Linked DNA regions of Coturnix japonica. The protein of the gene in region 1 interacts with the protein of each later gene in a pairwise test. Links are inferred from orthologs where the notes say so. Each region holds a gene or a part of one and is shown on either strand. Other genes may lie near its edges. The genes, in order: ERLIN1, FA2H and AGR3.

What was found.
Region 2: the proteins of ERLIN1 (region 1) and FA2H interact in binary tests that used the Homo sapiens proteins (3 or more experiments, as listed by UniProt). The two-hybrid records come from large-scale screens. The link is inferred for Coturnix japonica from reciprocal best matches to the Homo sapiens genes ERLIN1 and FA2H.
Region 3: the proteins of ERLIN1 (region 1) and AGR3 interact in binary tests that used the Homo sapiens proteins (3 or more experiments, as listed by UniProt). The two-hybrid records come from large-scale screens. The link is inferred for Coturnix japonica from reciprocal best matches to the Homo sapiens genes ERLIN1 and AGR3.

The regions. Positions count from the first base shown.
Region 1 is NC_029521.1:5,997,744-6,001,496, forward strand, and holds the start of ERLIN1 (erlin-1), read right to left. Parts: upstream 2,574-3,753; 5' UTR 2,445-2,573; intron 2,281-2,444; 5' UTR 2,270-2,280; coding exon 2,157-2,269; intron 1,120-2,156; coding exon 1,038-1,119; intron 673-1,037; coding exon 626-672; intron 1-625. Other genes in the region: CHUK (inhibitor of nuclear factor kappa-B kinase subunit alpha), read right to left, coding at 2,996-3,022. UniProt on the Homo sapiens protein: Component of the ERLIN1/ERLIN2 complex which mediates the endoplasmic reticulum-associated degradation (ERAD) of inositol 1,4,5-trisphosphate receptors (IP3Rs).
Region 2 is NC_029526.1:762,533-765,202, forward strand, and holds part of FA2H (fatty acid 2-hydroxylase), read left to right. Parts: intron 1-76; coding exon 77-157; intron 158-946; coding exon 947-1,089; intron 1,090-1,167; coding exon 1,168-1,274; intron 1,275-2,356; coding exon 2,357-2,529; intron 2,530-2,670. UniProt on the Homo sapiens protein: Catalyzes the hydroxylation of free fatty acids at the C-2 position to produce 2-hydroxy fatty acids, which are building blocks of sphingolipids and glycosphingolipids common in neural tissue and epidermis.
Region 3 is NC_029517.1:26,241,234-26,244,817, reverse strand, and holds the end of AGR3 (anterior gradient protein 3), read left to right. Parts: intron 1-340; coding exon 341-404; intron 405-1,443; coding exon 1,444-1,527; intron 1,528-2,225; coding exon 2,226-2,275; 3' UTR 2,276-2,987; downstream 2,988-3,584. UniProt on the Homo sapiens protein: Required for calcium-mediated regulation of ciliary beat frequency and mucociliary clearance in the airway. Might be involved in the regulation of intracellular calcium in tracheal epithelial cells.

The DNA.
Region 1 (3,753 bases):
ATCCCTTTATACCTTGTGAAGGGATCAACAGAACAGGATCTGCAAGCCAACTCAGCTTGCTCTCCTTCTTGCTTTGCTTGCTTCAACAGTATAAGAATCAACTATTAAGCAGGCAAGTGCCACCCCTGGTAGGCTGCTGCTTTATTCTGACATACTCTCTCTAAGTCAGGTGAAATGCTGATTCCAGAAAATGCCTCAGGAATTGCGGGAAACTTATTTCTTGAGCTGTTGTTGTCATCTCCCACCAGGAGGAAGGGCTTCTGTTTGCCATTTACTTTTGCCCACTGCTGGAATCAGCACTTGTATTCACCACAAGCTTCTGTGTAGAAATATGTAAAGCAAAAGGCAGACAAAAGCAGACCAGTGGGTGAGCAGAGAAATGCAAGGAAGAAAACAAGGTAAATTGGGAGGTCATCAGTGTAAATGAAAACATGAATTCCAGCAAGTGCACTCAATCCCACACCTCCTGCTTGATTTCCAAGTGGAATGAATGCATTTATGCTTGGAACTAATTTTACGCTTTTACTTTTCAGCCTCTTCATCACAGCACTATAAACAATTAATGTAAACTATGCAAGAGAATACATCTACTCGTCACCAAAAGAAATACAATGAGAAAACATACCTCGTCCCACAAGGCACATTTTTTACTTCATCAGTCTGCAAAGTGGTCTGAAATAAAGATAACCAATGCTCAGAAACACACACCATTCTTCAGGCAGACTGTGTTCAACCCCTCAAAACCATAACAGAGGCACAGAGAAACAAACTGCATCCTCTGCCTCCCTCCCTACAGTTGTAGGTGCAAGCAGGAAATGGTCTTCATCCTAACTGCAGTCTAGGAGAGACAATGGCAGCCGTGCTCATTTCCCTGCTCTTACTTCCTGAAGCTTTCCTAGGAATCTAGACAGATCGTACCCTTGAGTGAGGCATCCTCCTGCTCCAAATGAAACTGTGCAAGTTCTCATGCAGCAAAGCACCCAACGGCCCAACAAACACTGACGTTTTGCACGGGGCAGCAGTTAAGAGACACTGACCTGCACAGATCTGAATGTGGTGATGAAGGGCAACATGATGTGGTAGCCTGGTCCACTTGGACTAGTTAACAATGCACCACCCCTAAAGAGTAGAGATAAAAACATTGAAGCAAATGGAAAATACTACATGCAGGCTTTGAGAGAAAACAATCAAAATGCCAGGAGTCATGTTTGTGTTAGTGTGAATTGCACAATACACCTGCTCCATATTTGCTGCATCAAAGAGTCACTTCAGGCCTGTAACCTCCTTCACTACAGTGCCAGAGAGAAGTCTATCTTGAGCATTCAGCACAGCCCCTTAACTTGAAGAGCAATGATCTGCAGTCCCTTGTGTGGTCAGACAACTCATTCTAAGTTGGAAACAGAGGAGAACTCCAAGCAAGCAGTGCTCAACATCCTGCAAAGGCCCATATTGTTCAACACACTCATAATTACAGGGAAAAAAACAGCACAAGGGGATTCCCATTCACAGAATCACAGAATCACCCAGGTTGGAAGGGACCTCAAGGATCATGTAGTTCCAAGCCCCCTGCCTAGCAGGGCCACCAAACATACACATTCACTAGATCAGGTTGCCCAGGGCCCCAAAATGGGGAATGTGAAGTGTAGAAAAGAAATTAAATGGCATAAGTGACCCAAAGATTCAGAAAAGCTGGCAGAAAAAAAGCTTGTAGAGGCTGAATTTCTCGTTCCTTTATTAAAATTTGAAGAGGAAGCATCCAGCAACTGCCCTCTCTCTTTCTATAGAGTTTGTTCAGGGCAGCTGCAAGCTCCCAGAGCCACTGGGCCAGGCTGGTGTCCAGCTGTCCTGGGACAGGGCAACAGCACTGCGGTGAGAGCAACGAAGCTGCAGGCAGGACCAGGGTACGGGCTTCACGCTTTTAGATCCCAGTCACGAGCAGGAAATTACTTTGTACAGAGGTAGGAAAATCAGCAGGGAGCTCAGAAGGACTGAGGGCTACAATGGCTCAGTACCGTGGCTTATAGGTGCGGGAAAGCAGCAATAACTCACCCTGCCCACCTGAGGGCAGGGAACAATCCCCTCCCAGGGCTCTCAGAGGGCTGCGAGCCTCATCAGTCACAAAGAGCTGCGGATGCCCTTCCAGTAAGGAACGCTACCTGTAGTACACGGCCAGGTGCCCCTCCTCAACCCTGTGGATGGAGGCGTACAGGAAGAAGACGAGGACTCCCGTAGCGGCCGCCACCAGCGCTCCGGCCTGGGCCATGGTCATTCTCTCAGCACCTGTGAGACAAAGTCCTGAGGGCGGCCGGGAGGCGGCTCCCTTCCTTCCCCTTCCTAAAGGGGGACGGGAACTCTCGGCCTTCACACCGCAGCCCCGGCGCCGCACAGGCCTGACCCGTGCCCACCTCACCAACCCCTCCTTCAGACACAGAGCCCGCACTCACCTGGCGGGCCGGCCCCGGGAGGCCCTCGGCTGCCTTACGCCCGCCCCGCCGGGCTCCGAGCGGCCGGAACAGCCCGGAACGAACAACACCGCGCCCTACCGACACAGCAGGCCCCACGGCCGGCCCGCCCCTCCCACGTGCGGCACAGGCCCAGAGCCGAGCGGCGCCCTGTGATGACATCACACGACTCCCACCACAGCCTACGAACCGCGTTTATTAACGATAAAAATCTGCTTAGAATTAAAATACACACGTCTGTACATTACAACGACCCGCCGCACCCCCAGCCTCCTCTCGGCCTCTGCTACAGGGCCCGATAGGGCGGCACAGGGCCCATGTCCCCAGCACAGCAGTAGGCGCAGCCCCGGGCCATGCAGGCCCTGCCACACAGAGCGCTCGCTATGAAGGCACAAGGAGGCCGCAGTCTGTAACACAGTTAGTGCTGGTTGCATGTATCCACTGCTGGGCACAGCCTGGGTACCCGCATGTCCAAACCAAGAGGCAATGGGGCTGCAGCCAGCTGTCTGCACACAGCAGCACAGCTCCCGGGCCTACTTCAGCCAGCTCCAGTCCAGGTTCTGAAAGAGCAAGGAAAAAAAGCAACTTAGAGGTGGAGACCATGGGATGAGATGCGGGAGGTGACAGAGAGGTAAGAATAATGAGTAGAAAGCCAGTCAGAGCTTCCTCCTCCTCTCAGCAATAGCAACTTCTGCTAATGAGTTTTATTCACTGTTTTCACTGAATTCATCCTGAGTAACTTAGCAACTCCAACCTAAATCCTCCCTCTTTCAACTTAAAACCATTTCCCCCTTGTCCTGCTATTATCGGCCCTTTCAAAGAGTTTACTCCCCTCCTGATTATAAGGTACCCTTCAGGTATTGAAAGGCTGCAATGAGGTCACCCCACAGCCTTCTTTGCTCCAGGCTGAACAAGCCCAGCTCCCTCAACCTGTCTTCACATGAGAGTTGCTCCAGCCCCCTGATCATCTTCCTGTCCCTCCTCTGGACCCTTTCCAACAGCTCCATGCCTTCCTTGTACTGAGGGCTTCATACCTGGACACAATACTCCAGATGGTGCCTCACAAGAGCAGATCAACAGTTGTAACTTTTTTATCCCATAAGAATGGATGCTAACCCTCGAAAGACACTGTAAGTAGCTTCTGAAAATAAAAGTTAGAGCATATCGGTGGATCTCACTTCCTCAGAGATCCTTGATTTCCCTACAGGACTGCACTAATTTACAAAATAAACTGAGGCAATCTCAAGCTGGCAGAAGCTGTATTGACTCTTCCCTTTATAAAAAGGTCAGT
Region 2 (2,670 bases), on another chromosome or scaffold:
CTTGACGGTCTTTATCAAACTGTGATCACCTTGTGGTTCCTCAGCAGCCCCAAACCTTCCTTCCTTCTTGTTGCAGAGCTGCCCCAAGGTGGAGAAGCCTTTGGACGCTGCAGCCCCACGGCTGGATCCGCGCTGCAAGCCAGTGGACGTGGGCACGGTGAGGCCGCGCTCTGCCCTTCGCCCCACGCAGATGGCGCAGCAGTGCCTTTATGGCCCAGGCGCGGCTGCTCTGGGCGGCTCCTATGTGGGCGCTGATGCCTTCCTTTGACAGCAGCTTTGCCCTTAAAGCAGGACATGCTGCTGAGCTGCACCTCACACCCTTGATTTCTTTATTTCTATTCGTTTATGATTTGTTTTTCCCTTTTGGCTGAGCTGTAAGGGATGTCCTGCCGGGCAGGCTGAGCTCCATGTCCCACAGTTTCTCCCTGTCCCACGGTGCCTTTGGGTGCCTCTCACTGAACCACATGGCTGCTGTGCCAAGTGCTCTTTGGGGAGCACCAGCCTTTGTCTTGCCAAGGGACTTTATTTGACCAGCAGGAAACCCTTCATTCCCTATGAATGTTTTGCCACCGATTGCCTTTAAGAAAGGATCTTTCCTTTGGGTGCATCCCAAAATGGCGTTTTGCTCTCACATCCTGTTGGTGTGGGGCATCTGTATTCATTCCCATGCATGCTGGGGTTGTTACCCCGCTGGGTAACCACATCCATCCCTACCCAGACCCCACAAGCAGTGGCACAGAAAGGGGGGGAAGTCTCCGTCCCTGGAGGCGTCCCAGAGCCGTGGGGATGCGGCACTGAGGGATGCAGGCAGTGGGCATAGTGGGGTGGGTTGGACTTGGGGACCTGAGGCCTTTCCCAGCCTTAATGATCCCATGCATCCCCCCAGATTGTGGGTACTGTGGGATGGGAACCCTGAGGGACCTAACGAACAGCCCTGTGCCCCCAGGACCTGGTGGACTGGCGGAAGCCCTTGCTGTGGCAGGTGGGCTACCTGGGGGAGAAGTACGACGAGTGGGTGCACCAGCCTGTGGATCGGCCCATCCGCCTCTTCCACTCGGATTTTGTTGAGGCTCTCTCCAAGACGGCGTGGTGAGCATCCTGGGGTGTGGGGGGGTGGACTTGTAGATGTGTGGGTCTGCCCCCCTGACGGATCCCCTCTCTCTGTAGGTACGTGGTGTTCCTGGTGTGGACCCCCGTGGTGCTCTACCTCAGCTGGGTCAGCTACACAGCCCTGGCGCAGGGCAACACCAGGCTCTTCTCCTCCTTCACCACAGGTACCACCCATCCCCAGCCCTCAGCGCACACCTGCATGAGCATGGGCAGCCCCCAACCCTTGCAGCCCCCAGCATGTCCCCTGCACGAAGCCACCCGTGCTGGCTGAGCTTGCCTTGCTCCCCTGCCTGTCCATAGGGAAGGATGGTGGGTTTGTTCATAGGGAGAGCTGCTGCCCCAGAGGGTGGAGGGCACAGAACAGGACACAGCCCCGAGCTGCCTCCCTTCCTCCATACCCAAAACGAAGCCCTGCTGCTCACCAATGGCTGCGTCCCTCCACGCTGCCACCCACTGCCCTGACACTGGGGATGGCTGAACAAACACGGCTCTCACACCACCGGCCTCGCACAGAGCACGGCTTGTTCACCCAGAACCCCCCCCCTGAATCCACCACTGTGTGCAGCCCCACAGCGGGCAGCGGGCGGCCGGGTGACAGCTTTGTTGTTGGCCCTGCTGCGGGTGCCACCCTGTGCCAGCTGCGCTGCTCGGCCCAAAATCAGAGCAGGTTTTGATGTTCTGGGTTCCCTGCCTCCCGTCCAGCTAGAATAAATCCATCCTTTTGTTCCTCCGCATTCTTTTTCCATCTCTTTGGCATTCCCAAACATGCTTCCTGGCTCCCCATGCAGAGTGATGTGTGGCACACTGGGCACCTCACTGCCCTGAGGGTGTTTTCCTCCCCATTGTCTCAGTGCTTTGGTTTGGGGGAATTTTGTGCGGGAGGATGCAGGGTTTGCTGGCACCAAAAGGAGGAGGTGGTGGAAAAATGCGCTGCGGGGGGGAAAGCACCCGACAGCTGCGTGCTCTGCCAAACAACAACACAGCAGCGACTCTGTTCTGCTGCCACAAGCGCTGCCTGTGTCTGTTGGGTCGCACTGCGTGTTTGGGTGGGAAAAGCTGCTCTGTAGGGACATAGTTACAGCCCCAGCTGGCATCAGCTACTCCACCAAATAGCACAAATTAAGGGGAACCAAACAGAAGTGTGGGGAGAGGTGAGCTTCACCCAGTGGCTGACATCAGGATGGCGATGGATAGAAGCACGTGCATCCCACCAGCCTCGCTGACTGCTGCATGTCTCATTGTGTAGAGTACTCCATCCCCGTGCACAAATACTACTTCCCCTTCATCTTCCTCCTGGGGATGTTCCTGTGGTCCCTGCTAGAGTACCTCATCCATCGCTTTGTCTTCCACATGAAGCCACCCGCTAGTAACTACTATCTCATCACCCTGCATTTCTTGCTGCACGGGCAGCACCACAAGGTGAGCTGCAATGCTTCTGCTCCATTCGGGTATCCTTGCCCTTTGCTAATGCTGGAGGATGAGCTTGGAGCAGCTGGAGTTAAACCATGAGCCCTGAGTGCGGGACTTGGAAAGCAGTGGGCTCCCTCTAGCTTCGCTGGA
Region 3 (3,584 bases), on another chromosome or scaffold:
GCACAACTTTCCCTCACATGCACTTCCACAACAGATGCCATTCTGTCAGACTGCCTCTCTGCTGCCATCCGTTGCATGGCAACAAAATGTAATAGAACACTGCCAGAAAGGTTTAGCTTCTACTGCCACACCACCAGCATCTGAGGTCTTTGATGTCATGGACCAACACAATAAAATAGGAAGCATTACTTTCAGAGCAGCCTTCATATATGTGTTTATGTGTGTGCATATATACCTTCTGTATTTTTTTTTTCCTCTGGTACAATACTGTTCACAAGTGATGCTATTTCAGCTAAATTTATATGAATATTTTAATAATTAGCTTTAATTTCCCTGCCAGCATGAAACCACAGATAAAAACCTGTCACCTGATGGACAATACGTGCCTCGAATCATGTTCATAGGTATGTACAGTACTTATGAATCTTCTGAAGATGTGATCTCTGAATCTGTGCCAGTGTTGTTCTCCAGAAACATCAAGACAAATCATTTTGCAAAAAGAAAATAGCCCAGAATTTATCTTTACCATGGCAAAAGTATGGAATTTGGCATACCTGAGTTTAGTTCTCATTCTATCACGGGCTTCAGCTCCTGTAAACTTCCTCAGATTATAAATATGTTCTGGAGGGTACCTCATTTGCACTTGGGAGCAAGGTGCTTAAATATCTGTTAGCATCTGGGCATCTGTCAGCCCCTGTTAGCTCCCTGTGCTTTTGCAAGCACAGTTAGGAAATGAAGTGTAGAGAGAGCTGTCAAATATGTGAATGAATGTCTACAGTGTCTACAGTGCAGACATTACCACAGAGCAAGTCAACAGTCAACAGAGTCTAAGAAATTATCTACTACACTGCAGAGTTGACTTCTGAAATATATTAAGTAAATCATGTCCCACAGTCCCTGTTCCTTTTCACCAATTACACAGGCATCAAAGGTAGGTGAGGTGAAGTCCCTGCTTAGAGCAAAGTAGTAAAAGGAGTCAGGTGATTAATTAACAGATAGCTTAGAAGGGGAACCAGTTCAGTAAGATATTTACAACCATTTTCTACACTAATAGAAACAATAAGAATCACAAGACCTTAGTTCTAGTCACCAGGTAAGCCACGATAACTTTGTATTAATTATGCATGACCCTCATTATTTGTGCATTCAGTCAAAATTAGCTCTCCCAGAGTAACCCCAGAACTTGTAAAACAGGATGGTTTTCTTCAAGTATGGAAAAAAAGGTATGTGCAATCAATCTCTTAAAAAAAGCTGTGTAATATAAAACTGAACATTAGTTTTTGTTTAAGATTTCTCCACATAAAAAGCAGTTGGTTGGAACAGAGCGTAACAGCCTTGTAGTTTGTGGTTGGCAAAATCAGAACACCTCAGGAACAGGGCGGTACTATGGGCATCACCCTCGGCTGCTGTGGGAAGCAGCGATTAACACAGTTTCTTTTTCAGACCCATCTCTCACAGTGAGAGCTGATATCACAGGAAGATACTCTAATCGACTGTACACTTATGAACCACAAGACATACCATTCTGTAAGTGCCTATTTTGTGCTGTTGCTCTGCATTTTACACTGTAATCAGCCAGATACACACCATCCCAATCGTCTGTGTTTGAGAATCAGTTAAGATCTCTAAGTAATGAGTAAAGAATGTTTGCCAGCACTTAACAATAATTTATAGTTGTCTAACCTGTTCTAGCAAACACTTAGGCACATCTATTGCTCCGCTGAATTTATTGGGTCTGCTTAGGTGAGGTGAGTTGAAAGATCACAGGTGAGAAATTTCAGGACCAAGATCTGAGCTGTTTGCTGGTGAATGGTGAAAGTCACTATGCACAAAGGAATCCAACTGCGCAATGTTAATAAGCAGTGACGGGAGGGGACCGGGAAAAAGAAATGCTTGTTAACCCATATTCCAAAAAGGAATGTGATTTTTCAGGTTGAACTAGTACTCTGTACCATCCATCTGAGACCCATGCAGTATCTCACAACAAATATGCATGTCACATCTGACTATTTTGCTGAAGCAAAAGGGATTTAAGAATATTCAACTCCTCAAGTTAAATGTTTTGATTTACAACTCTCTTTGCCTTCAGCTTTAGTATCAATGCCAGAATATTCACAATAGGAAGCACTAAAATATATAATCCTGCGTGAATTCCAGTGTGAAGAATGTACTAATCAAAATGTACTGTAAGAATATTTTACGGTTGTTACTCATTTTTGTTTCAGTAATAGAGAACATGAAGAAAGCACTACGCCTCATTCAGACAGAACTGTAATCAACAGTGAAATGATCATAACCTCTAGAAGGTGAAGCTGCACCAAGAATTCCAACACTTTTAAATATTTTATTTAGCCTCTTTCTCTGCTATCTCTTTGAATCCTTACCAACCAGGTAAACCAGATTACATGAGATGTATGATTTGAAGATGAAATATAGGAGGCTACCATTACCATTTGGGAAACAGAGAAGAAATCCACCAAACACTGTGAGGTGGAATTAGCAACCTGAATAATTAGAAGTGATGGTCTAAGATGCAAGCAACCTTGAGCTGTATATTATCAATTGAACTGTGGCTTTATTGTCAGCTACAACTTCCAATCAAGAGCTATAGACAGTACTTGATGTCTATTAACAATGCATGATCTAAGTTATTAGCTACTTCTTACCTCCTATATTTTATTTCATGTAGCTTGTAAATCTCTAGCATGACTCAGTTTTATGCATTTATTTCTCATTAAAGGAATATTGCTGGCAAATCAGACAGGAAGGCTCTTGCTGTAGATTTTAGAATAGCTAATAGAGAAAAAAACCCTCAGATCTAGGGTTTGCTTTCTTCTGTATCATTCTTTAGATATTATTCTTCTTTATCATTCTTCTTTACAGGAAGGGTAGTTAAACACTGGAATAGGCTCCCCAGGGAGGTGGTTGAGTCACCATCCCTGGATGTGTTTAAGAGCTGTTTGGATGCGGTGCTCAGAGATATGATTTAGCAGAGGGTTGTTAGGGTATTATGGTTAGGCTGCAGTTGGACTTAATGACCTTTGATGTCTCTTCCAACCTGAGTAATTCTATGATTCTGAGAGCTGAAAACAGAACATATTTCATGCTGAACATGGGGTTTCTGTGAGGTGATAGTCATCAAATAGCAACTACAGGTTTTGCCATGATAAAAATGCAGTGACGCAAAAGAGATGGAAGGAGATAATTCCAGAACTCCACACCTGAGGCTAGTCATGCTTGTAAAGACCAGTGTGGGAAAAACCAATAGGTTTTTCCTAGCTCTTTACTTTTAAGTGGCACTTTCAAATGGTTATTCCTTCTGTAGTTCCCAATACAAACATCATAGTAGAAGCATACTGAAGGAATCTGCATATACAAACTCTTTTTCTCAAAGTCTCTCAAGATCACCATATGGAAGGGTAAACAGCTATTTTAAGTAAAAAGTCTGAGTCAGTTGAAATAGTTGCCTATACCAATGACATGCTTCTTCACTATAGCAAAGTAGTAAGTCATTCATCTGGAGGAAGAGCAACAACATGATGTTCTGTGCAAGGCACAAACATTTATCTCCATTACCTGCCATT